Linked DNA regions of Rattus norvegicus. The protein of the gene in region 1 interacts with the protein of each later gene in a pairwise test. Links are inferred from orthologs where the notes say so. Each region holds a gene or a part of one and is shown on either strand. Other genes may lie near its edges. The genes, in order: Plekha5 and Pdzd11.

Region 1 (15,469 bases):
AGTCCTTGCATATACCTAGCAAGCACCCTACAGCTCCATATTCCTACAACTGTTTTTAAACCAGGTCTTGTGGAGTACCAGATAGCCCTTGCTTCTAATTCTGAGTAGCAGGGATCACACACAGTCCTGTGTTACTATGCCCAGATTGTGTTTTCAGTGTTACATGGGGAGACCCTGTCTCAGAGAGAGGGAGCGGGAGTGGGGGGGGGGGGAAGCAAGAGAGAGCTCAAATGCTAGAGAGCAGGACCAGTGGTTAAGAGCATTTACTGCTCTTCCTGAGGACTTCAGTTTAGTTTAGTACACACATCAGGCAGCTCAAAACTGCCTGGGACTGCAGCTCCAAGGGATGTAACCACCTTTTCTGGTCTCTGCAAGCACCACACATATGAACGGATAATTTAAAAAAAAAAAACTTTCTAAAAATAAATTGTTTTTTAAGATTTATTTTATGTATATAAATGCTCTATCTGCATGTAAACCTGCATGCCAGAGGAGGGTATCGGATCTCTGAGCCACCATGTTGTTGCTGGAAATTGGACTCAGGACCTCTGGAAAGAACAAAACCGTTGCTCTTTACTGGATGAGCTATCTCTCCAGCCCCCAAAAAATTAAATAAAATAAATAGATTTAAAATTTTTAAATAGATATAAATTCATTATAAAACTTACTTAAAGAAACCCTTTTGTTATTTTTATTTTTTTTAAGATTTATTTATTATATATAAGTACACTGTAGCTGTCTTCATGCACACCAGAAGAGGGCATCAGATCCCATTACAGATGGTTGTGAGCCACCATGTGGTTGCTGGGATTTGAACTCTGGATCTCTGGAAGAACAGCCAGTGCTCTTAACCACTGAGCCATCTCTCCAGCTCATTATTTTCAATTTCAAACAAGGTCTCACTTACACTAGGTGGCCTCCAACTCCCTTTACAGGTGAAGATGACCTCATCCTCCTGCCTCCACCTCCCAAATGTAAGGATTACTAATGTGTGCCACCATGCTCTAAAATTCAACTGGAGTTTACAGTCTGAATTCACAAGAGACTTTTTTCTATTTGATTTAGAGAAACAATGAATTAGAAAAAGACCAAATAGCAAAACAAGAAAGGACCTGGTCAAACAGTGGGCAGAAGAACTGGACAGAAGAAATGCAAATGTCCAATAAAGGCATTTTCAACATTCCTAGCCATCTTAAAGATAAAAATTATAACTACTTTGAGATTCTCCCTTGAGTCAGAAGAGAGATGATCAAGAAAACACAGGAACTGGAGAGGTGGCTCCACTGCTGAGAGCATTTCCTGCGAGGCAGAGTGGCCACACCTGTAATCCCAGCAGGTGCGCCTCAGTGAGTTCAAGGCCAGCCTGATACACGTAGAGCTCAGGACAGCCAGAGTTACACAGAGAACCCTGTCTTTTAAAAGCACTGCTTCTCTTGCAGAGGACTTGGGTTTGGTTTGGTTCCCAGCAGCCACGTGGAGGTCATCTCAGGCAGTGCACACACACACACCTGCAAGCAAGCAAGCAGTCATGCACAGAAGATAAATAAATCTAAAACATTGTGTTAAAGAACATGGACTGGAGAGATGGCTAAGTGGTTAGGGAATGGGCTACAAGGAAACAAAGGACAGCAGATGCTGGGGAGAATGTGGGACCTTTCTCCCCCACTGCTGAGGACGTACACCAAGGTGGGGACGTCAGACTCCCAAAGAGACTCCAAACACAGCCATGTGGCCACCAGCCACAGGAGCGAAGAAATGGAGCAAGCCTGAGAGCACAAAATTTGATAAACAACATGTATACCTTGGATATATTTTTTTTTTGGCAGACATAAAGAAAAATTAAATCCTGACATTTGCACAAAAAGATAGCTGGCCCTGGAGGAGGTGAGGAGGTCATGACATTAAATAAAGTAATGCTGACCCTGAAAAAGCACCACATGCTCTCTCTGAAGGAACTGAGTCTTGAGAAAGAGGAAACAGCGCAGGAGAGTAGACGACAGCAGTTCCTGTTTTGGTGCTGAAGATGTAATTTAGTAAAACACTCGCTTACCACGGTTTTTGGCTTCAGTGTCCAGCACTGCCAAAGATATTTCTATTTTGCCCAGAATAAACCATATCGTTTTCTGAAATCTTGGGAGGTCTTAAGCACACTGATAATACTGTTAAAGTTTGGGTCCCCTTTAAAATGATGAACATTCTCGATTTTAGGAGCTGGAACGAGCCTGGAGAGAATATGACAAGTTAGAATATGATGTGACTGTTACCAGGAACCAGATGCAAGATCAGCTTGATCGCCTTGGAGAAGTGCAGGTAGGAAAGGCACTCTGCTTATAGTCTACCGCTGTAGCCTTCACAGGTTCATGCTGTTGGCCTCTAAAGATACACAGTCGAGTGTCTTCAGTGACAGGACTCTCACTCTCCCACAACGTTCCCCATCTCCTCCATAAAACCTTTGCATCTTACTGGACCCTGATGACCCCTGAAACACTCATGCTTCTTTGTGTTTAGTGCAGCTCCCTCAGCACTCTGCACTCTCAGTACTGTGCTCTCAGTACTTAGCTCACCTCTCAGCACTCTGCACTCTCAGTACTGTGCTCTCACTACCTAGCTCAACTCTCAGCACTCTGCACTCTGAGTACTTAGCTCACCTCTCAGCACTCTGCACTCTGAGTACTTAGCTCACCTCTCAGCACTCTCCTCTCTGAGTACTTAGCTCACCTCTCAGCACTCTGAGTACTTAGCTCAGCTCTCAGCACTGTGCTCTCTCAGTACTTAGCACTCTGCACTCTGAGTACTTAGCTCACCTCTCAGCACTCTGCTCTCTCAGTACTTAGCTCAGCTCTCAGCACTGTGCTCTCAGTACTTAGCTCTCAGCACTGTGCTCTCAGTACTCAGCTCAGCTCTCAGCACTTCCTATAAATGTGGTTTAGACTCTTCACGCGGGAATCAGAAATGCAGTTGTTCATTGTATGCAGTGGTTTGTTTTCCTCTAGTAAGTATCCCTAGTAAGTATCCCACTTGTAGCTCTTGCATACTAAAGTTGTAAGTGCCCCCCAGACCTATTTACCAAATAATATTTATTTTTAATAATTTTTTCTTGGGGCTGGAGCACTTAAGAGCACTTGCTGCCCTTCCAGAGACCCCACATTGAATAGCGCACAACTACTTATGACACTAAGTCCAGGGGATTGATTACCGTCCTCAAGCCTCTGAGGTTCCCACATATGTGGCACACATTGTCTCACTGCTCTATTGCTGCTGCAAGGAGACACCAAGGAGAATTAATTCAGCAGGAAGCGCCAGAGCTTGAAAACAGCCTGACTTCAAGCAGAGGTCCAGGCCTGCCAGGGCTGCTTAGTGAGGCCCTCTCTTAGTTAGAGTTTCACTGCTGTGAAGAGACCATGACCAAGACAACTCTTAGAAAGGACAACATTTAATTGGGGGTTTAACTGGGGCTTACATTTCAGAGGTTCAGTCCATTATCATAGCAGGAAACAAGGCAGAGTGCAGGCCAACTCAATGCTGGAGAAGATGCTGACAGTTCTTGATCTGCAGGCAGCCAGGAGGGGACTCTCTTCCTCACTGGGCAGAGCTTGAGCACTGAGAGCCATCAGCGCCCAGAGCCCACATACAACAGGAACACACTTCCCAACAAAGCCACGCCTACTCCTCCATGTTGGAGGAGGCATGTTACTGTGGGTGGGCTTTGGGCTTTCAAACCCCACAGCAGGCTCAGAGTCTCTCTGCCTGTGGCTGTCAGGTACTACTTCAGCACTGTGCCCGTTTGCTTCCAGCCATGATGATCAGGGGTTAACCATCTGCAACTGTAAGCAAGCCCCCAGTCACATACTTTCTTTTTATGAGAGTTTGCCTTCCAAAAAATAGCTGGGCAGCGGTGGTTTTTGCCTTTAATACCAGCACTCAGAAGGCAGAGGCATGCGGAGTTTTGGATTTGGGGTCAGCCACGGTTACACAGAAAAACCCTGTCTTTGGGCGGGGGAGAGAAAAATATACATATATATATATAGAGAGAGAGAGTGTGTTTGACCTTGGCCATCTGGTGTTTCCTCACAGCAATAGAACAGTAGGACACTGTGTGTCACTTCTGTGGGTCCTCAGAGGCTTGAGAACGTTAGTGTTACAGGTGGTTGTGAGCTCAATGTGTGCTCTCTGGAAGAGCAGCTAAGCTATCATTCCAGCCCCAAGAAAAATGTATTTCTCTGTAAAGGCTCATAAAGATCTAACAGAGTCTTGAAACTGTATGATTTTAACCTAAAGGCATGTTACATAATATTTAAATAAGAAAACGAATGTACCAGAATAGAGTAATGATTATATGTTTGTATTGGAAACATACCTACTTCCTCCTGTCAGTCAAGTGTTTCTTTGGTTGTTAGTGTTTTGTTTATGTTTTAGACTTTAGGAAGTAATGCAGGAACCCTTACCCTCAGGACATATCCCATGCCTTTCAGTGAATCACGAAACTCCAAATGATAGGGTGCCCTGTACACAAAGATTGAGAGGAGGTGGTCCTGGGCATTTAGAAATAAGTCTCACCAGTCTCTCTGGACTGCCCAAGTCCACACCTGCAACAACAACAGCCAGCCACTTTAAGTGGCCAACGATGACACAGTAGCTGCTGCTCCCTAAATCCAGTGCTGCTGTTGTGCTGAGAGCCTTGTGCATGTTGGACAAACGCACTGCCTGCCGCCAACCTGCAGCCCATCTGTGTATGTGTTGACTGTGTATGTGAAACCAGAAACATGGATCTGTGGAAGAGGGAGCCCATCAAGAACCTTCTGTGGCTTTTCAGCTCTTCTCGGGGGCTTGTTTTTACTTAGGAATATTAGGGTTTCTCTCCCGTCCCTTCCTAGAGTGGCGAAGCACACGGCAGGTGTGTGCAATAGCACATTTATATCAGAGAGATCCAGTGGTTTCTCTTCTGCTTTCCCTCTCACCTTTGCAACATCGTGGCCTCATATGCATAATCCTAAATATTCCAGGGACTTGAGCCTCTGTGGCTCTAACTTTCTATTATATAACTAGTAGAACTTATAAGGCTGACTTTTTCATAACTTGCCATTGAATTATTTCCCTGTTGCTGTCATAGAAAACCCTAACAAAAAGCAACTTAGTGGAGAAAGGGTTTCTTCTGGCTCTCAGACCCATTGTGGCAAGAAAGGCATGGCAGGAATGTCTGGAGGCTGGCCCACACTCCGGAGGGAAAGAGGGAGAGCAGGCGCCCAGCTGTAAACCATCAAAGCTCCCACCTAGTCATTGTGTACTCCCTTCATCAAGGCCCCCAGCTGAAACCCAGGGTTCAAATGCATGAGTCCATGGAAAACAATTCTCACTCAAGCACCACAGTGATCTGTCCATCTTTACTGATAGAGTGAGTCGGCAGGAATTCAACGGGCACAGATTCAAAAAGAACTTTGGAGAATTCAAGATGTCATGGAGGGGTTGAGCAAACACAAACAGCAAAGAGGCTCTTCAGAAACAGGTGGGTCAGCTTTGCATGGCTGTGTCTAGATGGAAAGACATCATTAAATTTGTCATCTGAATAGAATTTATCTTCAGAAAACAGTCACTGTGCCATTGAATGGGTGCATACGTTAATAAACTAAAAGCAGTGATTCTGGCAGCCACAGCCACACAAAATCTGAACTGTGTATGTGATTACTGAAGGTACGTTAGCTTCAGCGACTCTTCCCTTCTGAATCTCCTCAGTGTGGGGAAAACTGAAGTGATCCTGCACCTCTTTTCCTCACCCTCCATGTCCCCCTATACACACTTCTTTGAATTTTACTTACTTAATGTCAGAGTGCTCTGCTCCTGTACATCTGCAGGCCAGAAGGGGGCATCAGATCCCTTACAGATGGCTGTGAGCCACCATGTGGTTGTTAGCAATTGAACTCAGGCCCTCTGGAAGAGCAGCCAGTGAGCACTCCTAACCTCTAAGCCATCTCACCAGCCTGCTTCCCCCCCACACCCTTTTAGGAATATCTTTTACTTATATTTTGGAAGTTTCATACATGTACACAATGTATCAACATATGTCAACATCAACTTCTCTTTTCTTGTTTCTGACCAATGAATGCAGTTTCTGCTACCGTTAACATGGTGACTGATCGTGTTGACTTTTCCAGTCCCAGATGTAATAGTAGTTGCCTGAGACTTTCCTTTTCCACATTGGTGAACATGTGCTGTGTCTGGAGTTATGTTTGTTTCTGTCTGAGTCCCTCTGTAACAGGCCTCTCATTCCATAGGCCCACAATATAAAGAGTTAGTAAGTGCTCCATTCTAAAGACTACAGCCAGATTGGTCTCCTAAAAGACGACTGTGTACACCAGTAATGCCTGAGGAAACCTGTTCCATATCCTTTTGTCTCTTGTGTTGAAGACATTTTTTTAAACTTACTTTATGTGTATTGCTGTTCTGCCTCCATGGTCATCTGTGTAACTTGCGCATGTGGAGGCCAGAAGAGGGCAACAGATCCCCTGGAGCTGTTAAAGGCAGTTGTGAGCCTCCAGCTAGAGTACCCAGCTGGCGCTCTTAACCCGAGAGCCATCTTTCCAGCCCCAAGTACCATTTTTTAAATCTAATATTTAGGCCAGATGGTGGTGGTGGTGCACACCTTTAATCCCAGCACTCTGGAGGCAGAGACAGGCAGATCCCTGAATTCGAGGCCAGCTGGTGTACAGAGCAAGTTCCAGGCAGCTAGGACTACACAGAGACCTCGTCTCAAAAAAAGAAAGAAGAAGAAAGAAGAAGAAAGAAGAAGAAAGAAGAAGAAAGAAGAAGAAGAAGAAGAAGAAGAAGAAGAAGAAGAAGAAGAAGAAGAAGAAGAAGAAGAAGAAGAAGAAGAAGAAGAAGAAGAAGAAGAAGAAGAAGAAGAAGAAGAAGAAGAAGAAGAAGGCGGCTTCACTAGGTGTGGTAGCTAACACCATAGTCCTAGCACAAGGGAGGCTGAGGCCAGGGGATGGCCTTGTACCAAGAGCAGCCTCAGTTAGTGTCAGGCAAGAGCAAACTCCACACCATAATCCTAAAAAGAGCAGCTGAGCAAATACAGGAGTACACTGAAGGCTTCAGTCAAAATAAGCAGAGCCAGGGCGACCCAATGAGGCAGCTCAGTGCATCCCTGAGCCTCAAGGTGGAAGCATAGAACCCGCTTCCGGAAGTCGTCCTCTGCCTTCCACATGTGCACCTTGGTACATGTGCATACACATGCCCACAAAATAAATACGTGTAATTTAAAACTTTTTAAATAAAGTAAGCTAACTGAAATCATTCATTCTGTGAGTTTAGAAAGTTGTTCTTGCTGGTCAGTGGGGGCACACACCTTTAATCCAAGCACTCAGGAGTCAGAGGCAGGACAATCTCTGTGAGTTCCAGGCCAGCCTAGTCTAGAGCAAGTTCCAGGACAGCCAGGGAGGGCAGTTACACAGAGAAACTCAGTCTTGAAGAAGAAAAGAAAGTGTTCTTAACATCAGTAGCCATGTTTTCTCATTTCCCATAGGTCTGGCAGGACCAAAGCCTTTCCCAGCAGTTAAGTACAAAAGCGAGGTAAGTCAGCTTGGTTTTCTAGCTCACTTGAAGTATTAGTACTGAGGTTAAAAGTAGTTACACCTTCTCCAGTCCTGAAAGCAGTAGTTTGAGCCTGCCTGGGGTGGAGCCCCCCCCCCCAACCCCAGAGCTTGGGAAGCTGAGGCAGGAGGAGGTTAAGTCTGCCTGGGCTGCATAGCAAGACTGTGTCAGGAGAAACAAGGGTGTTTTCTAAATATATAAATATATTTAGGTTATTTTAATCTTAAAATGTTGATGATTTAGTAATTTGGTGTCTTAATGACTTCTAACATGATTTTTCTTCCTTAAAGTCAAATTAGTGACTACTTTTTGTCTGTTAAAACTTTAACATTATTGTACTTTTTCCTTGTAATTTAAATATTAATCATGGCGTCTTGTGTTTAATAAAGTTTGTAGGGACGGTTGCTAGATGAAGTTAGCTTGGTCATGCATGCCGTAGAGAAATTATAACAAAGAGACACTGTCAACCTAACTGAAGAAAATCTGTGCCCTTGAATTTTGTTTAAAAGCCAAAAAGGAAATTATTTTCTTTTTCTTCTCAAAGGCGTCAAAAATATATAATATGGTTTTTGTTTTTTTTTGTTTTTTTATTTAGCCAGCTCTTTTCCTCTGGTTGTGCAGTGCAGTACAGTATGTTCACATAGTACCTTGTCTGAGCAGGGAAAGCTGCCCCATACGTGTAGGGGGAAGCGCACACGGCCTTTGAAACCCATTATTGGCGATCATGCTAAATCGTTTTGGTTTTTCAACATAAGACTCTTGGCTTGGCAGTGTCCCTTTAATCATACTAAAGTAACTAAGTTAATGTAGCAATGAAAACAGTTTAGAAATGCTTAATCCAATCTGCTCATCTAAATAAGGTGACTTCTACAATCTTTAGGAAGAGGAAGTAGTCCCACCTCGGCCTCCACTTCCTCGGTCTTATGACTTTACAGAGCAGCCTCCCATAATCCCCCCTCTGCCCAGTGATAGCAGCTCCTTGCTCTGTTATAGCAGGGGCCCCGTGCATCTGCCTGAAGAAAAGAAGAGTCACCAAGTTCAAGGATATCCAAGAAATGGATCTCACTGTGTAAGTGGCTGCCGTGCCACACAATGATCATGTACATCTGTTCACTTTTTAAGTTAACTTATTTCATACTCTAGCTTATTTTTGCTATAACTCCATTTTTTAGCTAGTGCTTTTTTTGTTTGCATATAACATTACCCTTTGTTTTTCCAATTTACATTTTATCATTCTCATTTTTTAATGTTCTCATAATTTTAATATTTCATTTTTCATAAAGTGGTTACTTTGCACATTTTGATCAAGCCATATTTTAAATTTGCCATTTCATCGTGTTAGACAGAGTGTTTAGATCAGAAAATAGGGAATTAGCAAAATGGATGGGCACCAGGCAGTTTAGGGCTTCCTGTGACTGGAAATGAGGCTTCAATGGGAAAGAAGACAGTTACCATAAGCAAGAAGGATTTGGGACCTGGGGTTGGGCAGGTGTGTCGTGAGGTCAAGGCCAGCCTGAGCTATAAAGCAAGTCCCTGTTTCCAAGAGAGAACGAGAATGGGTCTTGGCTAATGGCGAGGATGTTGTATTCTCTGACAGCAGTGTAGTTTGGGATGAGCCTGGCTCACTCAGACTTATGTCTAGACGAAGGTTATTGGGTTCTGTGACTATTCTTAGACCTTCATTTAACCATGATAAAAATGTGACTTTGGGCCAGGTATGGTGGCCCCATCTGTTATCCCAGCAGAGAAGCAGATTTGGTAGAGCCATGATTCCTGACCAACCGAGACTGAGTTGCCTCAAGCAGGGTGAGGGGGAGAATAGCCCCCGGAGGTCAAAAGGGTCAAGAGGTCAAGGCAAGCCTGGGCTATACGAGGATCTAGAGAGGTGGCTCAGGACCCCAGATTCAGTTTATTGTTCTTCGCAATGTACAACTGTTATGACAGGAATCCGACATCCTTGTATAGCCTCTGCGGGCACCAGGCACACCTGTGGGGAGCAAGCCAAACACTAATATTCATAAATTAAATAAAGTTTTAGAGTGCATACAAGGCCCTTGGATACCTACACACAGGAAAGCATACTTTGACCTAGGAATATTGTTCATTTTAAAATAGTAAGTTTTACTAATTAAAACTCTTCCTAAAGAAGAAACAACCTTGGAATTATTCTTCGTACTCAGTACCACGTGGTGTGAGTGCGTCATGTGAGAGGGAGCCAGCTGGGGCTTTCGGTTTGCACCTTTAAAGGCAGACTTATTTTCAGTTGAGCCAAGGACCTTTCTGGTGCCAGACAAGGCTTCTAGTGCTGAGCCTCGGGCCCAGCTGAGGGACAGGGTACAGTGACGGCAGCATTTGTTGTTGCAATCGTGTGTCTTCCATTCAAGGGTCCAGATTATAGACTCTACAAGAGCGAGCCAGAGTTGACCACAGTGGCAGAAGTTGATGAATCTAATGGAGAAGAAAAATCAGAGCCAGCTTCTGAGGCAGAAGCTCCGGTTGTTAGAGGTCAGCATTTATAGTATCTTACCTGTTTTCTGTCTTTGTTTTCAGATATTTTAGTATATACTTTCAACCAGTATGTACATAAATCTATAATCTCTTATTTGAAATCTTTGAGATCTTTTTGTTTCCCAGCTACATGTTGTGAGCTGTATGTGGTGATGCATATGTTTATCCTAGCACTTAGGAGGCAGAAGTCAGTGAGCTTCTGTGACATCATGGCCAGCCTGATCTCCATGGTAAACTCCAGAACTCCAAGGCAGCCAGAGTTATATAATGAGACTTTGTCTCACACAAGAGGGAGAGGGAGAGAGAGAAACACTTTGAACCATGTTGACACCAACCTACAGGAGAATTGCTGTGAGTTTGTGACCTACTAGGGCTGTGTAGTAAGATTTTGTCTCAAAATAAATAAAAGAGGGCAGAGTTGGCTCAGTGGTTAAAAGAACTTGTGGACGACCTGGGTTCCAGTCTCAACAATCTATAACTCTAGTTTCAGGAGATTCAAAATCTCTTCTAACTTCTGATGGCACCAGGTGCGCGCGCGCGCACACACACACCCACACCCACACACACACACACACACACACACACACACACATCAAAAATATATGTGTTTTGTTTTGTTTTCTGAGACAGGGCTTCTCTGTGCACAGCCTTGGCTGTTCTGGAACTTGCTCTGAAGAATACGCTGGCCTTGAACTCAAGAGTTCTACCTGCCTCTGCCTCCAAGTTTTGGGATTAAAGGCATGCACCCCAACTTCCCAGCTAAAAAATATGTTTCTAAAAAAATTAAAATTAAAAGAGGCAGAACAGTGTGGGCAATAGAGTTACCGTAAGGAATGGTGTAATGGCCCAGTGATTAGGAGCACTTGCTTTTCTTCCAGAGGACCTAGGTTTAATACCCAGAACCTACATACACATACATAGTTAAAAATATAATGAACGATTCCTTTTGAGATTTTATGCGTGTTTTTTTTTTAAGTCTATGCCTTGTGTGGGTACTCTCAGAGGTCAGGAGAGGGAGTGGGACCTCTTAGAGCTAGAGGTTCCGATGGTTGTGAGCTCCCTAACATGGGTACTGACAGTGGGACCCCAAGCCTCTTACATCAGGAGACACTGCCAAGCCTCCTCTCCAATCCCACCACATTGCTGTGCCTGGGAGCCTGTATGTCAGGTTGCAGGAAAGCACTGTTCATGGCTTAGGTCCAATCCCAACTCACTAGAAATCATAATCAGCCAAGGCCTCTAGTGTAATGCTCGGTAGGGCACCACGCCGTGTCACAAGTGCTCAGCAAGGTGCCACACCCTGTCACAAGTGTTCACAAGGGCACCACATCAGATCACAAGTGCTTTGTGGGACTTAACACTGCTTTAACTTTCAGGTTCCCACTTTCCAGTTGGAGTTCCTCTGAGAACGAAGTCACCTACACCTGAGTCCTCAACGATAGCTTCCTATGTGACCTTGAGGAAGACGAAGAAGATGGTGGAGCTAAGAACGGTATAGCCTCCTCACTGCTGCTGAGAGCTTGCTGTTTGTACAGTTGGAGTAGGAACATCGTCATCTTTCTGCTTTTATCTCACAGGACAGCCAATCACAGTATCTTTTGGTCAACCCCAACCTAAGCCTTAGTCTACAGTCAGGCTACACAGTAACATCATGTCTTTTTAGTTTTTTAATAATTTACTTACTTGTGTATTTATTATATGAGTACACTGTAGCTGTCTTCAGACACACCAGAAGAGGGCATTGGATCCCAATACAGATGGTTGTGAGCCACCATGTGTTTGCTGGGAATTGAACTCAGGACCTCTGGAAGAGCAGTCAGTGCTTTTTTTTTTTTTTTTAAGATTTTCTTATTTACTATATATAAGTACACTATAGCTATCTTCAGACACACCAGAAGAGGGCATCAGATCCCATTACAGATGGTTGTGAGCCACCATGTGGTTGCTGGGATTTGAACTCAGGACCTCTGAAAGAGCACTCAGTGCTCTAACCACTGAGCCATCTCTCCAGCCTGACACCATGTCTTTCTAACAGGAAAGACAGTTAAGATAGCCCAGGGTATGGTGTCACATGTTTGTGATCCTAACTTCTGAGGAAACTGCAGTGTACAATGCCTTTGAGGCTAGCTTGGACTACTAAAGACCCTGTCTCAAAATTTACCCCCCAAAATAAAAATAATTGTAAGATAAAACTAATAGCTGTGTATCACTGTAGTGTAGTGTAATGTAGTGGTCATAGTTCTAAAGTAGTGTTATTAAGAGAGAAGAGCTGTTTTTCTCCTTAAGACAAATCCATTTCTGTAGATCCTACCTCAGCCTCCCAAGTGTTATAGACACCACTGTACCCTACTACTGCCAACTCAGGCCAAGGAAATGGAGAAATCTGAATTCTGTCCCACAGATTGTAAAATGTGTTTAACTTTAAAATCTGTCATATAAAGTGTGTTAAAATTTTTCTTTCCTAGTGTGACTAATATTTCTAAGCCCTTCAGTTTATATAAAATGAAACAGACACATAGAAAAACTATGAAAATTACCTATTTGTGACAGTTTACAACTATGAAAACTAAAACTATCTTTATAGGAAATAATATTTCTGTACTTTTATTGTTAATCACAAAACATTATAGGGTATTTTCTTGACTAGTCACTTCATAGTAATGTGTGACGAAAAATATTACATTCCTCTAAAATGGAAGAAATGTCCATTGTGTAAGTATTGTGCCCCATTTCTTCCCTCCCCCATTTCTCCTAATCTGAGGTTTGTGCTGTTTTCTGTTTCAGAGACAGGGGGTAACTTTATTCAGAGAAACCATACCATTTATTCATTTATGTTTAGTGAGACAGGCATCAATATGTAGCCCAGGCTAACCTCAAACTAACCTCAAACTTACAGCATTCCTGCTTCTGCTCTTGAAGGCATTACTACAACAGACAACCGTGTGTTTGGGGAGCGGGGGAGAGGCGGAAAGAGACCCTACAGGGTATCTCAGTGAACTCCAGAAGTCTGCCCTCTACCTTCCCTCACCCAAGGACAGGAATTTAGATAGGAGCTGCTGTACCTGACTTTCTCGTGGTGCTGAGGACCCATACTCAGGTTCTCATGCATGGACTTTACTAACTGAGCCAGCTCTCCAGTCCAGCACTGTCTTTTTAAGCAGCATTGGTGTTTAATAGGATAGTTTTATTTTGGTTTGGTTTGGTTTTCGAAACAGTTTTTCCTATGTAGCCTTGGCTGTCTTGGAAGTCTGTGGACCAGGCTGACCTTGAACTCACCAAGAACTGCCTGGCTATGTTCCCAATACCCCAAAAATATTGCCAACAGCACCCAGTGTCAGCGGGTTAACGGTGTTACGTAGTGCGGATTTGGAGTCTGTGGATCGAGAGGAAGAAGAACTCAGATGGGGTTGGGGATTTAGCTCAGTGGTAGAACACTTGCCTAGCAAGCACAAGGCCCTGGGTTCGGTCCCCAGCTCCGGAAAAAAAAAAAAGAAAAAGAAAAGAAGAACTCAGATAATGCGTGCATAGGCTTCTCTGAGAAGCTCCCTTTGGCTGTTTCATTCTCAGTCATCACACCCTGTGGCTGGCCGAGTTGGTTTTGTCAGGTTGAGGCTGGAGCCCAGGAGGCCAGCACTCTGCCACAGGCTAATGCTTCTGCTGTTCCCTTACTGGTATTGAAGACACAAATTTGTAAATTTACCTTAACATTTTTTTATATATGATATTTTTAGAAGTTTTTATCTGTTTGTTTTTGAGACAATATCTCATTCCCTCCAGTCTTGCTTTAAACTCTGTATAGCTGAAGATGTCCTTGATCTTCCTGCTTCGGGTTTATTTGGTGCCCGGTATCCAAATCAGGGCCTAGTGCATGTATGCAAGTCCTTTATCAACTGAGGGGCTGTGTGCCCGGTGCTCACAGACCTGTTCTTCATTTTAAGGAAAGACCGAGAAGTGCCGTGGAACAGCTCTGTCTGGCGGAAAGTACTCGGCCTCGGATGACTGTGGAAGAGCAGCTGGAGAGAATCAGGAGGCACCAGCAGGCCTGCCTGAGGGAGAAGAAGAAGGGGCTGAACGTCCTCAGTGCATCCGACCCATCTCCCTCACAAAGTCCTTCAAGCGTGAGGGACAGTCCTTCCAGAGTTCCTCAGGTACACTGACTTAATTGTGGTTTAATTGCTTTTGACTACTGTAGATACATCTTTTCTCCTTGTTTGTTAAGAAAACTGACTTATTTAATATGCTACAAAGAGGCAGCCAGCTAATAGTGACAGAAGGGCCACTAGCCGGGGGATTGTCACAGGCTAATTAATTCTCTATCTCAGAAGTATATCCCAGCCCTTACTGCAACCTCACTGAGGCATTAGGGGCCTCCGTGAGCTCGTACTGTAGCGCAAGCAGGCCTTGTGTGGCCTTCTCGTGCTGTGGTCCCATGCAACCGAGGTTAGACATGACATGCGTCACAGACCAGGATAAGACTGTAGGTAGGACTGGCCTTCTGTTTCTTTATTTTGTACATGTGTGTGGGTTTGCTCTCCAGAACACCCTCATGGAGAGGACAACCTGTAGGAACTGGTTCTTTCCCTCCAGCTATCCACGGATTGAACTCAGGTTGTCGGGCCTGGCAGTGAGCAGTGCCCTTACCACTGAGCCATCTCTGACTCGTTTCTTTTCCATCCTTGGTGTTTATAACAAGACCAGGCTGGAACCTTATGTAGCCAAGGCTGGCCTGGCAATTCTCCTTCCTCTACTCCCGGTATTGGGGTTGCAGGCATAAGACACCATACCCAGCCTCTTTAGGTTTTACTGTATTTTAGTCAGGGTGGAAGGGATAACAAAGGTCTCTGCACACATAGCTGAAAGTGACTTTGAGCTCCTGGTCTCTTGTCTCCACTTCAAAGAGACAGCATCCCCTCTGTCTGTCTTTTTTCTTTAGACTTTTCAAGACCAGGTTTCTCTGGACTCAATTTGTAGACCAGGCTGGCCTCAAACTCACAGAGATCCTTCTGCTTCTGCCCTCCCAGATGCTGGGATTAAAAGTATGCGCCACTATGCCCAGCCCAAGAAAAAGTTTGAGACAGAGTCTCACTAACTGTCCATGCAGCCTTGGACTGACCTGTCACCAGGCAGTCCTCTGTCAGCCTGCAGAGGGAGGGCCTGGGCCACAAGGAGGCACCATCGAGACTGCTTCAGCTGAGTTACATGACAGACTTAGGTGTTTGATAGGTTTTCATAGATCTACCATAGAGATAGCTGCTTATATGACTTGGTTATTATAACAGTCAGCTATGGTGGCTTATTAAAATGAAAATAACTCTGCTCGAGAGAGGAGAGCCAAAATAACTGTTGGATACCCTTGTACCACCTGTGGCTTAAT
Region 2 (16,032 bases), on another chromosome or scaffold:
ATAAAACAGCTTCCAGAAGCGCTGTCAGCTTCTTTTACCACATCTAAGTTACTGGGTCATGCAGAGTACCTATTTTCATTGATAACTAAAATCTATTTATACAGGACGGAGCTCTAAAACAGCTAGGATAATGTCAAAGGCTAGTCTAATTTTTGCTCCAGTCTTACTAAAATTTGTTTATGTGCAATGCTAAAAACATACCTGGTATAAAAGAAAGCATCTTCAACAAATGGTGCTGGGAAAACTGGATGTCCATGCAGAAGAACGAAATTAGACTCATCTCTCTCACCTCATAGAAAAACTAACTCCAAATGGATCAAAGACCTCAACATCAAACAGTACACTTCATGATACAGGTATAGGAAAAGACTTCCTGAATAAGACTTGATTTACCTAAGAGTCAAGGCCAACAATTGTCAAGTGGGACGTCATAAAACTAAAAAGCTTCTGTACAGCTAGAAAACCAATTAACCGTGTGAATAAGATACCCATAAATGGAGAAAATCATTGCCAACTATACACCTGACAGAGAATTAATATCCAGAATATACAAAGAACTGAAAAAAAAAACCCAGAACAATCAATCAAACAAAAATGACACATTCCAAAACTGGGCCTGGGACCTGAACAAGGGAGTTCCGAAAAGAATATACATACATACATACATACATACATATGAAATAACTCAAAAATGTTCATTGTCCCTAAAAATTAGGGATATGCAAATGCAAATCAAAACAGTGTTGACCTTTCACCTTACCCCAGTCAGAATGGCAAAGACCAACACTCAGCAAATGCTGGAGGGGACACAAGGAAAAGAGAACTCTCATTCCCTGTTGGTGGGATTGCAAGCTGATTCAACCACTCTGGAAATTACCATGGAGAATTCTCAAGAGGCTAAAAGTAAACCAACCATGGGACCCAGCTCATTGGCATCTGCTCAAAGGACTGGACATCCTGCTCTGAAGGTACTTGCTCAACCACGACCATTGCTTTGTTGCAATAGCTAGAATATGGAGATAATTTAAACACCCTCAACGGAGGAATGATAGTGTAACACATACACTATGTAACGTTTGTCAGCTCTAAAGAAAAATAACATCAAAAACTTTGCAGGTAAATGGATGGAACTAGAAAAGATATTGAATGAGTTACCCTAGAAATATAGATATACATTTAATAACAATCAGTGAGAGGAATTAATCAAAGAATATATAAGGGGTTGGGGATTTAGCTCAGTGGTTGAGCACTTGCCTAGCAAGCGCAAGGTCCTGGGTTCAGTCCCCAGCTCCGGAAAAAAAAAAGAATATAAAAAAGGAAATCTGAAAGAGGTCAAGGAGGGGTGTACAGGAGGGTTTAGGAGAAAAGGGGGGAAGAAACGGTATATTATGCTCCCCAAAAATAAATTTGAAGAATGATATATGTACCCCCTTATCTCTGTGCACTACATGCACACCTGGTGAGTGCATAGGGCAAAAGGTATGGGATTCCTTGGAACTGCAGTTACTGGTCTTGAGCCATTATGTAGATATTGGGAATCGAACCTGGGTTGTCTGGAAGAGCCACTAGTGCTTTTAACTGCTGAAGACTCTCTCAGCCCCATGGCTGAGATCACACCATACTGATCACACTTCTTACTTAAGTTGCTTTTTGTGTTTAGTAATTACTGTGTGTACATGTATGTGAACACATGTGCCATGACATACATGTGGATATGTGTGTGTGTGTGAGGATAACTTGCAGAAGTCTGTTCTCCTATCAGAGGGCTCTGAGGCCATCAGGCCTGGCAGTAAATATCTTAACCTGCTGAGCCATGTCATTGGCCCATATTGTTTTAAAATCTATTAACTGGGAGTTGTTGGATCTCCTTTCTCAGTTTCCTGGACTGCAAGCCACCTGAATCATTAAATATTTAGCCTGAAATCCAACTCAGCCTATCACTCTACTGGGCCTTGAACCTCATCCTAGAGCAGTGGTTCTCAATCTTCCTAATGCTGCAATTCCCTTAATACAGTTCCTCATGTTGTGTTGACCCTGAACAATAAAATTACTGTTGTTGCTACTTTCTAACTGTAATTTTGCTGTTATGAATCGTAAACATCTCATATGCAGATGATCTTAAGTGACCCTTTTGAAAAAGTTATTAGGCCTCCCCAAAGGGTCTCAAACCACAGGTTGATAATTGCTTTCCTAGAGCAAGATCTTTATGAGAAACTTCTATGGGTCTCTTCCTAGCTCATCGTTAGGAATCTCCAAGGTCTTATGTGGGTAACCACAGCTTGGTGTATTCTTGACTACAATGGCTACGTGTTATCTAGATGAAAGATAGTTCTCCTTTCTATCCACTGGCTCTATTTCCACCCCTGCACTTTTTCTGCAATGTTCTCTGGACCTCAGATGGGGTGCAAAACTTTTAAATGCTGCTAATAGAATGACTGTTGAATTAATAAATTATGGTAAGGGAAAATCTTAACTGGAGGCTACAGAAATGTCAACATCAGTAAAATCCTTATTGTACAAATATGAGGACATGAGTTTGAATCCCATAGTGCACTTAAAATGCCCGATGCCTGTCATGGTGACACACACCTTTAATCCCAGCAGCAGCAGGTGGGTCTCTCCAACTTCAAGGCCAGCCTGGTCTACACAGCAAGTTCCAGGGAGAGCCAGAGCTATAAAATATTCTATTTCAAAAAAAAATTTAAAAAAGGAATTATGGATGTAGTAGCACACATCTTCTGTAGTCCACACACTGGGGAGGAAGAGAGAAGAAGGAACTCTGGGCCTTGCCAGACAGTCTGGCCAAATAAAAGATTCAGGTTCAGTAAGTTGATATACTTTCCAAAAATAAGAGAAAAAGTGACTGAAGAAAGGTAGCCAATGTCAACTTTGGACCTTCATAAAGTAAATCCTGCTACCCGTGCTGGGTGCAGCGAGTGATAGATACCTGTATCCTCTGAACTTCAGAATCTGAAGCAGGAAGATCACAAGTCCAAGACCTGCTTGAATTATGTACCAAGAACCTACCTCAGGAAAAAAAGTTAATAAAAACTTGATAACCATGGAAATAGTCTTGACTTTGTCAGTGGACACAGCTATTAGTTTTGTGAAATATCCAAGTTTTTCTTTCTCTGATGGCCACTGGGGGTCAGCAGAGCAAATAAGAGGACAGAATTCCCAGGAAGACTTAAGCTAATTTTATACCTCCGGCTCTGCTCAGAAGGTACAGTGCCAACAATGTAATAGAACTGAGTCTCTAGCAATGCCTTTAGTACAGCTGGGGTAGGATTCATGGGAAGAGCCAGTTTCCACATTTCATCCATTTGAAAATTTATCTTGCTTATTTAAAAAGGTAGATCCCAGTCTGGGTGGGGGTGGGAGTGGTGACTCACACCTTTGATCCCAGTACTCAGGAGGCAGAGGCAAGCGATCTCTGTGAATTCAAGGCCAGCCTGGTCTACAGAGTGAGTTCCAAAACAGTCAAGGTTACACAGAGAAACACTGTCTCAAAAACAAAACAGGTAAGTAAACAAATAAGGTAGAGTCCTAGGTTCTCTCTCAAACCAAAAGAATCACTCTCCAGAAGGAATTAAGAGATTTAGTTCAGCTCCCAGGATTGTGTTAGCTTGCCACACCTTACAGGCAAAAGACAACAGACAACTTTGGGAATCTGTTCTCTCCTTTCAGCATGGGGATCCTGGAGAGCAAACTCAGATTGTCAGGCTTGGAAGAAGGCATCCTTTAAGCCCAGAGAGTCATCTTGGTGGCTCTCCCTAGGATCTTTTAAGTCAAATGTTGGGCTTTCATTGTAGCAGCGCCTTCTTCAGAGGAAAAAAAAAACCTTTCCATTATGACTGGGTATTTTAATGTCAGTCAATGGAGGGAACATTACATACCATATACATGCAGGTATGTAATGTTCAGTCACTAAGGATCTAGGACGACAGAAAGTTATTCACAGGTAGGGTCAGAAAAAGGAAGAAGTTGGCAGTTACCACTAATGAAACTACAAATGGGAAGTTAGGAACCACTTTCCTACTGCTGCTTGTAAAAAATAATCTATGCCACTTCCTTGGCTTAATTCCAGGTCAGAGAATGTGGGAAAGAATACATTAACACCATCCTGCTGCAGCACAAAATCTAACACTCCTGGGTAAGGGGCAGCTTTCCCTAAGGCTCTTGACTCTAGGGATCCCTTGTGGATTCTATGACTAGTGTTTTTTAAGCTCCCAAGTTGTCTGGCCAGATAGAGTTGTAAAGTGAATATGACATTGCTGTCCTTCCCACAGGTTGGTTGTTGTATTTGTTTTCCTCAATGGCATTTTATATTCAAGCAGCATCACTCAAGCCACGTTTATTCAGTATTATGTTTTTTACTATGGGTGGGGGCGGGGATGAGAAGGAAGTGTCTCCTTGGAGTCTCTGAAGTGTATGGGACTCCAAGGTACAAAGACTCGATGGCATGGCCAGGCAAATCAGATGGAAGGTCCCCATGATTCTCTTTTCTACTGATTTCTACAAATAAAACAATAAGCTGTATACGTGACCAATCTAAGGTACCTGATAAATGCCAGTTGTTTTCTAGTTGGCTTTCCTCCACAGGCTACAGACATCTAGATATCACTATCTTTCTCCCTTTCCAGAATGAAACTCACCTAGCAAACTAGGGAACTCCTAGCACAGTACAGTTAATACGTAATACAGCTGGTAAGCTGTCTCCCCATCCTCCCCATCCATAAACCAGGAGGGTGTGGAGAATAGAATTTCCTGACTTCTCCAACTTCTCAGAGGTCTACCCAGCTTGTCCTGGCAGATTCCACAGGTAGGGCTGTGGGCTGCAAGTCTCTAGTGCACAGTCCGTTCTTTTTGGCGATGATAATCTGGGGTAAGAAAGAACACAGCACATTATTTTCAGGATGAGCTCCCAACTTCCCATTCCCAATTTCTTGGGCTTGCCATCATCCGTCCGTATTTAAAAGAGTTCTCTTACCTGCAGCCCTGCCATATAAGGAAGAAAAAGAAAAAGATAAAAAGAAAGTGCCTTACTGTAGGGAAAGAAGCGCACACGCATGCTGATTTCTCGGGCTGTCTTCAGGATTTCCACAGCCTGGAAGACACACAGCTGCTTGTACAAATGAAGAGCTATTACCCAGGACAGAGATATGACACAGTAATGGAATGTGCCACCTCAAACATCTAGGTCACTGGTAACTGCTCTCTTCTGGTACATTTCCCTTGAACAGATGCTTTCTTCCAGATTAGGCTAATCTGGTCCAACCTGTCCTACCTGAGACGGCTTCCTGGATGACTATAGCCCATGCACTGTGCTTACTTTGCTGTGCTCGATATCTTGGAAGTCCACATCATTCACAGCTAGAACTTGGTCCCCTTCTTGAAGTCCTGCTCGATGTGCATCCGAGTCTGGAATCACCTGTTTGTGAAGGGGTAACACATGTACTTGAGATGGCATGAATTAGGAAGCTGCAGGGGGAATTCAGTGCTGTTCAAATTGTTAATTTTGTGATGCCACAGGGAGATTAGTTTTTTTTTAAATTAGGTTTAGAATCTTTTTTTTTCAAACACAGGGTTTTTCTTTTGTGGCCTTGGAATTCACTCTGTAGATCAGACTGGCCTTGAACTCATAGAGACTGGCCTACCTCTGCCTCCTATGTGCTGGGACTAAAGTCATATGCCACCATTGTCCAGATTGACTTTTCAAATTACTACCTACTCCTAATCTTCCTGCTTCTGCCTCTAGAGTTCTTGGAGTACCAACACATGCCCCACACCACACTGGGCCCAAGTTCAAGTCTGAGAAGAAAAGGCTAAATCCCCATTATGTGTATTCTATGACTCCACCGGGTCATCCATTTTTTTAATCTGTTGGGCCACCAGTGCATTTTAATATAACAAAGTCAATAGCCATACAGCCTGTCATACACACACATTCACACAGACCTTGGAGATGAAGATGCCTAGCTGGGAGGCCTTTCCTCCTCGGATGTTAAACCCCAACTGAAAGACAAGAACACAGGATGCAGACTCAGCATGGACACAAGAACGAGGACATCTGTGTACTCAGAAGAAAAGGAGATGCTATGGAAGTGTCATCTCCACACTTCTAGTCACCTACTTCCCAAACCACATCCATGCCCCAACCATAGCCATCTTCTGGCATGGCCAAAATGTAACTGGAATAAGAGCCTCTATAAGTTTACCTGAGCACCAGGAGGCTTCTTCAATGTGACAATTCGGGGCAGAAACTGGGTCAACTCATTGTTGTAGTCTGGGTGGTATACTCTCTGCAAGATACAGCAATCTTAACCATCTTATTCCCAGTCTCACGTGGTACATCTACCTCCTTTTAGAGTATCAATAAATCAGATACATGTCAGGAAGTGGGAAATCCCTATCCCTTTTTTATTGACAGGATAGAAGCTAAGGTTTCAGAATTCAGCAGAGTGAAGGGCTCTAGCAGGGTGGTTCTACAAGAAGTTGCCAGTGGGTCACTGTTGCTCAAAATTCACCTAAGATTCAGTCTCCGTTGAGCTTCATAACCCTGCTACTTATCTTTCATAGACCTCATGCTTGGGGATTGGTATTTCTTCTTCAGGAATGCAGATGGCTCCCACCTCATGAGGAGGAATCCATGCTGGAGGGTTTTCATAGGCAGGCAGGAAAACCACTGGGTAGTCATCATAAGGAATCCGGTTGTCCATTTCAGGCAAAGCCCTGAAAAGGAAGAATCAAATGAAACAAAAATGATTTTAAAAAGGACCAAGTGCTCTACGTTTCAGAAAGCATCCCCTCCAGGGGCCATTTGTTTATGGGACTAGCCCACAAGTAGGTGTCAAGATTGAATGAGGGCATGGGGTGGGAAAAGAGGCAACAAAACAAAATAATGAAAACAAAACAAAAAACCGAAAAAAAAAAAACAAAAAAAAATCTAATTTTTTAAGCACTCTAATGGCATGTTTGCATTTCTTACAATTCAACAAAAAGAGGCTTTCAACCTAGAGAATAGGAAATGAGAATCACATCTATAAAGATCTACTTTAAAACAGAAAGGGAGTGCCAATAACTATCCCACAGGGATTGGAGCCAGGCACATTGCCAGTCTCTAGAGGTGATTAGTTAACGTGGCGTCCACAGACGAGTTCTGTCAACAAGGGATACCTTCCAGATCCAGGTCCTGCAACCCGCCCGTACCCCGCACTCGCGACCACTTAATTCAGCGCCACCTTACCGGTAAGTAGGCCTCCCTTAGCGACAGCCAATTCCGCCTTGGAACCGGAAGCGGATGCTTGCTACCACCCAGCACGGGCGGAGCTTGCTTTGGGCGAGCCAGCTCTCTAGCCTCCTCGGGCGTCACGTTGTGCGTGCTCACGTCCGTGTACTTTTCACAGGCTGTACGCGCTCCGATTGGCTGGCGCCTCTGGGATCAATTTGAAACTTGGCGGTTAAAGCTCCGGTTGGAACAGGGCGCCAGGGAAGATCGGGGAAGGGACGTTTAGTTTGGTGAGTTACCGGGCACCACGTTAGCTCAAATTCCGTGCTTCGTAGCACTTCAGGGCTTGGGGTCACGGTCGCTGTCTCGCTGGAGTTTCTTTATTTCAGACACCATTTTCGCCTTGCAGTATTGGGACTGACAAACCATTAGGCGGTGGCCAAGAGTGACAGGACACAGTGATCCTGCTGGGAGGGAGAGTGCATCAGCGAGTTCCGAGTCTCCTACGGCCTGAGAAGGGCCTTTCTACTCCTGCCAACCTCGGAAGGTTCCTGGGAGAGCTGGCTTCACTTGGCCAGGACACCTGCTGAGCTGGTACCATGAAAGAAGAGGTGAAGGGAATTCCTGTAAGAGTGGCACTGCGTTGTCGCCCCCTTGTCTCTAAAGAGATTAATGAGGGCTGCCAGACGTGCCTTTCTTTTGTGCCCGGAGAGCCTCAGGTGAGTAGTCAAGTCTAGAGTGGCTCTCTCCACAGCTGAGGCTGAAAGGAGGGAGGGGCGTGGTCAGGCATTGTTTTTTTAATCCTTCCCCTATCCCTTCTCTCTTGCCTTTTGCAGGTGGTGGTTGGTACTGATAAATCATTTACCTACGATTTTGTGTTTGACCCCTCTACTGAACAGGAAGAGGTCTTTAATACAGCAGTAGCTCCACTCATAAAAGGCGTGTTTAAAGGTGAGGCTGTTCACTGGGCAGGTTTTTTGAGCATGTATTATGGGTGGGTCATAAAGGCACTACAAATAGAGGAATGGATGAAATAGCTTTTAAAAACAGCCTACAGACTAGTACCATTTGTGAAAGTCTTTCTACTCTTGAAGCTAGTCTCAGACTGTCCTGTTTATCTTTGACCTAGGCGTATGTTGCTGTTTTGGGGGACCTCACAGAGCACCTTTTATCTCAGTGCTTGGGAGGCAAAGACATCTCTGTGAGTTTGAGGCCCGCCTGATCTACATAGCGGGTGGCAAAACATCCAGGGGTACCTAGTGAGATCCTGTCTCACAAACAAACAGAAAACAAAGCAAAAATAAAGAATATGTGGTTTTTGTTTGGTGCTGATTGTGTACTAACCTGCGGAAGTGCCAAGAATATTCAGATATGTAACATAGTCTCTGGGCCCTTGAGTTCAAAGTCCACAGGGTCAGAAAACAGGTAGATGACTGTGGGAACTGGGATCCGGGAGGGTGGTATTGAAGCCTCTGTCACCATCCACCAGTGCTTTACCCAGGTGCCACGGCACCCATAGATGACTACATAAGTGAGTTTGGATACATAGAAAAAGTTTAAATTTTTACAGCTATTTAAAAAAATTGGGGGTGATTCTTTTCTTTCTTTTTTTTTTCCTCTTTATTTCCCCAGACAGTATTGCATATAGCTCAGGTTGGTCTTAAACTCACAATGTAGCCAAAAATGGATGTGATGGCCCATGTGTTTAATCCTATTACCTAGGAGGCAAGCAGAAAGGAATCTCTGTAAGTTCAAGAGCAGCCTGGTCTGGTCTACACATCTAGGGTTCCAGGCCAGCCAGGGCTACATAGTGAGACTCTGTTAACTGTGTAGTGTGTATGGAGTATGAATTGTACCTATAGAAGCTATGGAAGTGTTACTGTTTTCCTACAACATAGTATGACGATTGAAGGATGCCACTAAACTCCATTAGGGGAGTTTGGGTTAATTTCCAAGCATATGGAACTTTTGAGATAGGTATTGAAAGATGAGTTGAATTTTTTTAGATAGATTTTTTTCCTCCCTAAAGTCATTGAGTATTATGGCCAGCTAGTAATCTTTACTGCAGAAGCTAAGCTTTTAAGGGCAGGAATCTAAAGCCAGCAGGACCTGAGAGATATTTACTTGTCATATTAGTAGTTTACAGTGGTTATTAATTTTTTTTATTGAGAATTTCATACATACATATAAGTGGGTTTTTTTTTTTATCAAATCTCTTATTCCCTCCTGTCCACTTCTTCGGCCTATATATTCTTTTTTTCTTAAACCCAGAGTCAATTCAGTGTTACCTGTATGTCAGAACATCTTATAGTGCATGGGTAACTTCTTGGTCACATCTCTGAAGAAAACTGATTGTCCTTCCTTTGGTAGGCATCCATTGCTAGTAGTTGGTCAGCTAGGTGTGGGACTTCATGAGTGTAACCCTGTGTTTGTTTCTGCTGGGATTTTTGGCAGCCTCAATCTTGTACAGAGCTCAGTAGTTATTCACTTAAAACTTAGAACCATAACAAATTAGTGAATGTGTTGCATATAATCTAGTTGAACTTTTCACCCAAATTCTTTCTAGTAATTAAATGAACTTTTGGTGTCTTGTTTGTGCCAGGGTCTCATTTAGTCCAGACTGATCTCAAATTAGACATGTAACAGAAGCTGACCCTTAACTCCTGATCCTTCTGTGTTTACCCTTAACATGTTCTGGTTATACAAATGCATCACCACGACCATCTCCAGTGCCTGTTTAAATTTATTCTTTGACAAAGAAGTCCCAGAATCATAGAGTGACCTACTTGACAGTTGCTTTCTTTTAGACAGCTCAGTTTTTTCTTCTGCAGTTACTATTGTGTGTATGTATCACCATTTGTGGGGGAGGCTCAGAGGACAACTTGCAGGAATTGGTCCTTTCCTACCACATGTATCCCCCTGGCCTCCACAGGTACCTGCATGCATACACTGAACCTAAAATCCCACCCAGAACACTTAAGCCAGGCAGTGGGGGTGCACACCTTTAATCCCAGCGCTCGGGAGGTAGAGCGGCAGTTGGATTTCTGAGTTCAAGGTCATCCTGGTCTATGGATCCAGTTCTAGGACAGCCAGGGCTACACAGAAAATCTCTTGTCTTGAAAAAAAACCAAAAAAACCAAGACAACTTAAAAATGATGTCATGTCTCAGGGGATATTGAATATCTTTGTGTATGTGTAAAGTGTGTGCACAGGTTTGTACAGATATCCTTGCTCGTGCATGTCTAGTAGAGGTCAGAGGTCAACATTAAGTGTTTCCCTCTATTGCTCTCTATCTTGTGTTTTGAGACAAGGAGCTCTTGCTGAACTATTTCAGCTAGACTGACAGTTCAAAGACCTCAGGATGCCCCTGTGTCTTCCCTCTCAGTACTGGGGCTGCACAGATCCATGCTGTCATATCCAGTTTTTATATGGGCACTAGAGATCTGAACTCATGTTCTCGTGCTTGCACAGCAAGCAGTTAACCCACTCGGACATCTCCCCAGACCCAACCTTTATCTAGTTATGTCTTTTCTATTTATCTGTTTTGTGTGACTCGTGTGTGCCGGTGTATCACATTGTACATGTGCTGGTCAGCGCATAACTTGTAGGCATCAGTTCTAACACTCTATGGGTTCCAAGGGCCAGAGACAGGATGCTGGGTTTGGCCTTAAGTGCTGTCACCCACCAGGCCATCTTATCAGAGCCTTTCGTAAGACAAGGCTCATGTCTTAAGAGCTTTCCCGGAAAGCTGGCTTTCCTGGAACTCACTAAATAACCAAAGATGACCTTGAACTTCCGGTTTCCCTGTGACCTCCCCAGTGTTAGGATTCCAGATGTACACCATCCTCCTTTGGTTTGATTTGGTTTGGTTTGATTTATGCTGTATTGGAAAGCAAACTCATGGCTTTGTACATGCTAAACAAGTACTCTGCCAAATGAGGTATAGTTCCAGACTAAATACCTTGTTGTAAAACTTGAAAACACTATAGTTATAGAAATGTTGCAAAAACAGCATAAGGGAGCCATTTATTTCTGGAATCATTGGTAATACGTTATTGACCTTATGACCCCTGAATACTTTAGCATATATTTCCAATAAGAGTCATCATAACCTGTCCTAGCCATCAAAATCACAGAAGCTGCAGTGTCGCATTACTACCTTCTAATCCTCAGCCCTATTCAAATGTTGCCAGTTCTTTCAGTAATGCCCTTTATAGCAAAGGATTTAGTTCAAAAATCGTGTTATGATTAGCTGTGCCCTTTTTTAGTCCCCAAGTCTAAAATAAAATAGTTCTTGAACCTTTGTTTTTTTTTTTTTAAAGCTTTCGTTGTTTTTGATACTTGAAGATTACAAGGCACTTATGTCTTTCCGTTTGCTTTTATCTAATGTTATGATAAAATTTGAGCTTTTTAAGCAGAAACACCACAGACATGCTTTTGTATTCTCATTGATTCCTGTCAGGCAGTATATGATTTCGATTTGTCCTATTACTGTAATTGTTAATATATCAATAATCTGTCTAAGGTATAAACCGACCAAATCTTTCCTGTAAAGTTAATTTTTTCTTTTTGCATAATTGAAAAAGCATTATATAGTTCTAATTCTCTTCTACTTTTTTCTTTCGCATGATTTTGTCTAATTCTCATCTAGTTTGCTATTTCTCCCTCCACTCTCTTCATTCCATTCTATTAATAATTAAATTGCTCCCTGCTTCCTTTCCCCCTCCTACTCCTACCACGCCCTGCCCCTTCCCCCTTAAGTCCATGGCCTCTTTTTAATTCCTGTTACATATAACACTCACACACTCAACTGCACGGTATATGATAGAACCTGTGGGGTCTACTCAGTGTTGCTCATGTGTACATGATTTCAGGGCTGACTACTTGGTATGGATAGCAATTAAGGGGGCTGTCCCTGGAGAAGACAGATGCTTCCTCACTCAGCAGTTGTTAGTTGCCTGTAGTTCTCTGTGGAAGGGTCCCTTCCGTGTTAGCATGTCACTTGCTGGTGTTCTTCTTCTGGTCTTGTTTAGGCCGCCATACTGTTGAGGTACTGTGGGTGAAACCTTGTCATTTCTAGGCGACACAGACAGCGCAGATTTCCTGGTCCTGTAGCTCTCACAGTCTTTCTGCTCCTTGTCTGCCATGTTCCCTGGCTCTTAGGTGCAGGAGTTGTGTTGTCCATTAGAGGTGAGCATCCCTTTAGCAGGTGTTCTCTGCATTTTGACCAGTTATGATTTTCTGTAATGCCCCATCTGTTGCAAAGAGAAGCTTCTTTGAAGCGTGAGTGGTACTCTTCTCTATGGGTATAAGGATAAGTATTTAGAGTGCAGTTAGGAAGTATACTGGTTTAGTAAAATAGTATAGTAGGTTCTATTCTCTGATCTATCCCTGAGTAGTCGGCTAGGTTTCCAGTGTCAGGCATGATTTCCTTCCTGTTGAAAGGACCTTTGTCCAATTAGAAAACAGTTGGTTACCACCCAGATATGAGTGTCACCTTTAGGGATATCTTGCTAAACTCTTGTGGTCCATAGGCTTCAGAGCTAGGCACGACTGTTGGTTATTTCCCTCCCTTGGCACTTTATATAATACCTGCAGGTCTATGAAAGTTAGTTCCTGGGGAAGAGGTTTTCAGGTCAAATCTATCTCAGATCCTCCAAGTCCAGTGTGTAAAATGCATGTTGTCTTCAGTAACTGGTACTTAACCTTCAGCCTTCGGAATACAGCAGTAGTAACCTGTGCTATTTGGGGAATCTCTTGTCTTCCTGACCGACAACTTGAAAGGAAGTGTCTTATGTTCACTTCTAGACTTTTTTGTTTGTTTTTTGGTTTTTTTTTTTTTAAGATAATCTAGAGCTGTTTAGGGGAAAGGGAACATGTATATACATTTCTATGTATTATATGTAATTTTAGGTAAATAAAAATACCATGATTCCTTAGGGATTTTTCAGACATCCTTAGTGTTATTTGTCCCTGCACCCTCCCTGTCCCGTATTGAACCCCGCTAGTCCCTCTGCAGTTAGAGCCCTCAACATTGTTCCGTTTCCCCCTTCAAATCATGTGTGTCCTGCTATTGGTTTTGAAAACACAGTCTCATTGAGTGCATGCCTCCTTTGAACTCATTCTGTAATGCAGTAGAGACTAGTTGTGAGCTCCTAAGTCCTGTGCTTGCCCGAGCCACCATGGCCAGGTACCATTTTCTTTAGCCATTTCTGAAATAATAATTTTTTGGATTTCACTGTCAGTTCAGTTTCCTCAAATGTGTACCTCCACAGCCTAGTAAAGGTGTCAATAGTTGTACTTCTGTAGTCTTTTTTATCTATTTTTAATTGTTTGTGTATCTGTCTTGTCTGTCTAACTGCCTGTCCATCTGTCTGCTTGCTTCCTTGCCTTTCTCTCTGTATAAGTATGTGCTCCGAGTCCAGGTGCCCATAGAGGCCAGAAGTGTCAGATTCTCCTGGAGCTGGTGGTGAGTCACCTGAAGTGGGTACTTAGGAGTTGAACTCAGGTCCTCTGGAAGAATAGTACATGCTCTTAACCACTGAGCCATCCCTCCAGCCCCTTTTCTTATGTTCTTAACCTGGGAAACGTGAGAATTAAACTGTATTATTTGAAGACAGTGGCAAGAATAAAGTGATTCTAATATACATGTTTTTAACACCATCCTTATTTGTAAGAACAAATCTGGTCTTTTTATATTCAGATCAATAGTATACTTTTATACTCTGGACTCCTGGTACCAGAGTCCAGAGTGTTTTAGACCCAGTACTAAAACCTGGTTTTCCAAGATGTTGCAGCTTATACCTATCTGCAGTATTATAGAAAGTTATAAAATGTTATTTCCTTGCCCCTATGACAGTCATATCAGATTATAACAGCAATATATTTCAATTTATAGGTTAAGAGCTTTCATTTAGAGCGGAAAGCTCTCCTCTCCTCTCCTCTCCTCTCCTCTCCTCTCCTCTCCTTTCCTCTCCTCTCCTCTCCTCTCCTCTCCTCTCCTCTCCTCTCCTCTCCTCTCTTTTGACAGGGTCTGGCTTGCCTGGAACTTGCTGTGTAGATCAAGCTGCCTTTAAAACCCACACACATCTTCATGCTTTTGCCTCTCAGATGCTGAGATTCAAGATAGTGAACTACCAAACCAGCAAGTTCTTTTTAAAACTTCATAATCATCACTTAAAGTAATATGTTTTTTCAAATTTTAAAGATTTTTTTCATTTTCTATTTTTAGGTCTTTTTTGTTTGTCTGCTTGCTTTATTCCCATAGTTGTGAGCCACTATGTGGGTGCTGGGAATCAAACCTAAAGCCTCTGGAAGAGCAGCCAATGCTGAGCCATCTCTCTAACCCTGAGATATTTCTTGTCAGGCTCCAAAATGATGTGGGTAAATAGTAGATGACAGCTTTAACAAAAATACAGTGATTTTCTTTTTTAAAAAAGAGTTTCCTTTAGACTGTCTGATTTTCTTTTAAGGGATGGCTTTCTGAGGTATTTATTAAATGTTGAAGCACATTTGAATTTATAGTTTCTTTAGTCCCTACTTTATAATCAATTAGCGAGTTATAATAATTAAAGTGTGAATAGCCCATCTGTTGTCTATTTCTCTCTCTTTAAAGATATTGCTATAGTTATAGCTAGAATTATCTGTCTCCAGTTCCAATCAAAACTTAAGGCTTATGGGATAAAATGAAATGCACCCATAGTAATTCATATTCTCCAGCAAGACAAAATATAAAAATAGATATAGAAAATAACACTTTTCACTTGAACTAAGCTCAAACAGATATAGATCTTACCTGTCTTTCTGCAAACATTACAAATTATATGGACTGTAATAGAAAACACTGTCACTATTCCATGGTGCATCCAATGTAATAATTTATAAAATGTGTGCTGGAGCAATGGCTCAGAGATTAAGGAGCCCTGACTGCTCTTCCAGAGGTCATGAGTTCAATTCCCAGCAACCACATGGTGGCTCACAACCATCTGTAATGAGATCTGATGCCCTCTTCTGGTGTGTCTAAAGACAGCTACAGTGTACTCACATACATTAAATAAATAAATAAATTTATAAAATGTGAATAGAAAAACCTCAGTTGTTTACCTTACTCTTGGTCACAGGAAATGGTTACAATGTGAGTTGATATCCTTTTGATCTTTTCTATTTTTACTTACAGTTGGATTACATTTAACCCACTTTTTTAGTCCATTATATCTTGAACTTTAAAAAAAATTCTGGGGGTTGGGGATTTAGCTCAGTGGTAGAGCGCTTGCCTAGCAACCGCAAGGCCCTGGGTTCGGTCCCCAGCTCCGAAAAAAAGAAAAAAAAAATTCTGTCCTGTTTTAGAGAGAGGATCCCTATTAACTCAGTCTGGTCTTGATGTTTTTTAAGCAGGGTCTTATTATTTTACCATTGCTGTCCTGGAACTCACTATTGTTCTGTAGACCAGGCTGGCCTCAAACTCAGAGATCCTCCTTCCTCTGTCCCCAGAGTTCTGGGATTAAAGATGGATTCTATCATACCCAGCTTAGTTTGAACTGTTTGAAAGTGCTGGCATTATCAGGAAAACTTTGCCAGGCCTGGTTCATGAACATCTCTGAAAGGATGATTCTGTATTAATACTCCATAATAGCAAGGGGTCTATGTCATATTTAGATGTACTTAAAGGCTATGGGTGCATGGAGTCAGATAGGGATTTTTCTTTCTCATTTATTTATTTACTTTATATTCCAATATCAGGCTGCCCTCTCCTCCCAGTTCACCCTTATACAGCTCCTCCCCTTCTCCTCTGAGAAGATGGACGG

The links.
Region 2: the proteins of Plekha5 (region 1) and Pdzd11 interact in binary tests that used the Homo sapiens proteins (3 or more experiments, as listed by UniProt). The two-hybrid records come from large-scale screens. The link is inferred for Rattus norvegicus from reciprocal best matches to the Homo sapiens genes PLEKHA5 and PDZD11.

Annotation. Positions count from the first base shown.
Region 1 is NC_086022.1:175,210,298-175,225,766, forward strand, and holds part of Plekha5 (pleckstrin homology domain-containing family A member 5), read left to right. Parts: intron 1-2,208; coding exon 2,209-2,310; intron 2,311-5,362; exon of another isoform or gene 5,363-5,391; coding exon 5,392-5,503; exon of another isoform or gene 5,504-5,528; intron 5,529-7,519; coding exon 7,520-7,566; intron 7,567-8,467; coding exon 8,468-8,656; intron 8,657-9,743; exon of another isoform or gene 9,744-9,971; coding exon 9,972-10,092; intron 10,093-10,114; exon of another isoform or gene 10,115-10,440; intron 10,441-11,471; coding exon 11,472-11,587; intron 11,588-14,033; coding exon 14,034-14,243; intron 14,244-15,469.
Region 2 is NC_086039.1:69,754,435-69,770,466, forward strand, and holds Pdzd11 (PDZ domain-containing protein 11), read right to left. Parts: upstream 7,364-16,032; 5' UTR 7,177-7,363; intron 6,733-7,176; 5' UTR 6,720-6,732; coding exon 6,633-6,719; intron 6,303-6,632; coding exon 6,219-6,302; intron 6,016-6,218; coding exon 5,959-6,015; intron 5,432-5,958; coding exon 5,333-5,431; intron 5,123-5,332; coding exon of another isoform or gene 5,108-5,122; coding exon 5,047-5,107; coding exon of another isoform or gene 4,973-5,046; exon of another isoform or gene 4,881-4,972; coding exon 4,846-4,880; 3' UTR 4,331-4,845; downstream 1-4,330. Other genes in the region: chromosome-associated kinesin KIF4A, read left to right, coding at 7,828-7,947, 8,065-8,179. UniProt on the Homo sapiens protein: Mediates docking of ADAM10 to zonula adherens by interacting with PLEKHA7 which is required for PLEKHA7 to interact with the ADAM10-binding protein TSPAN33.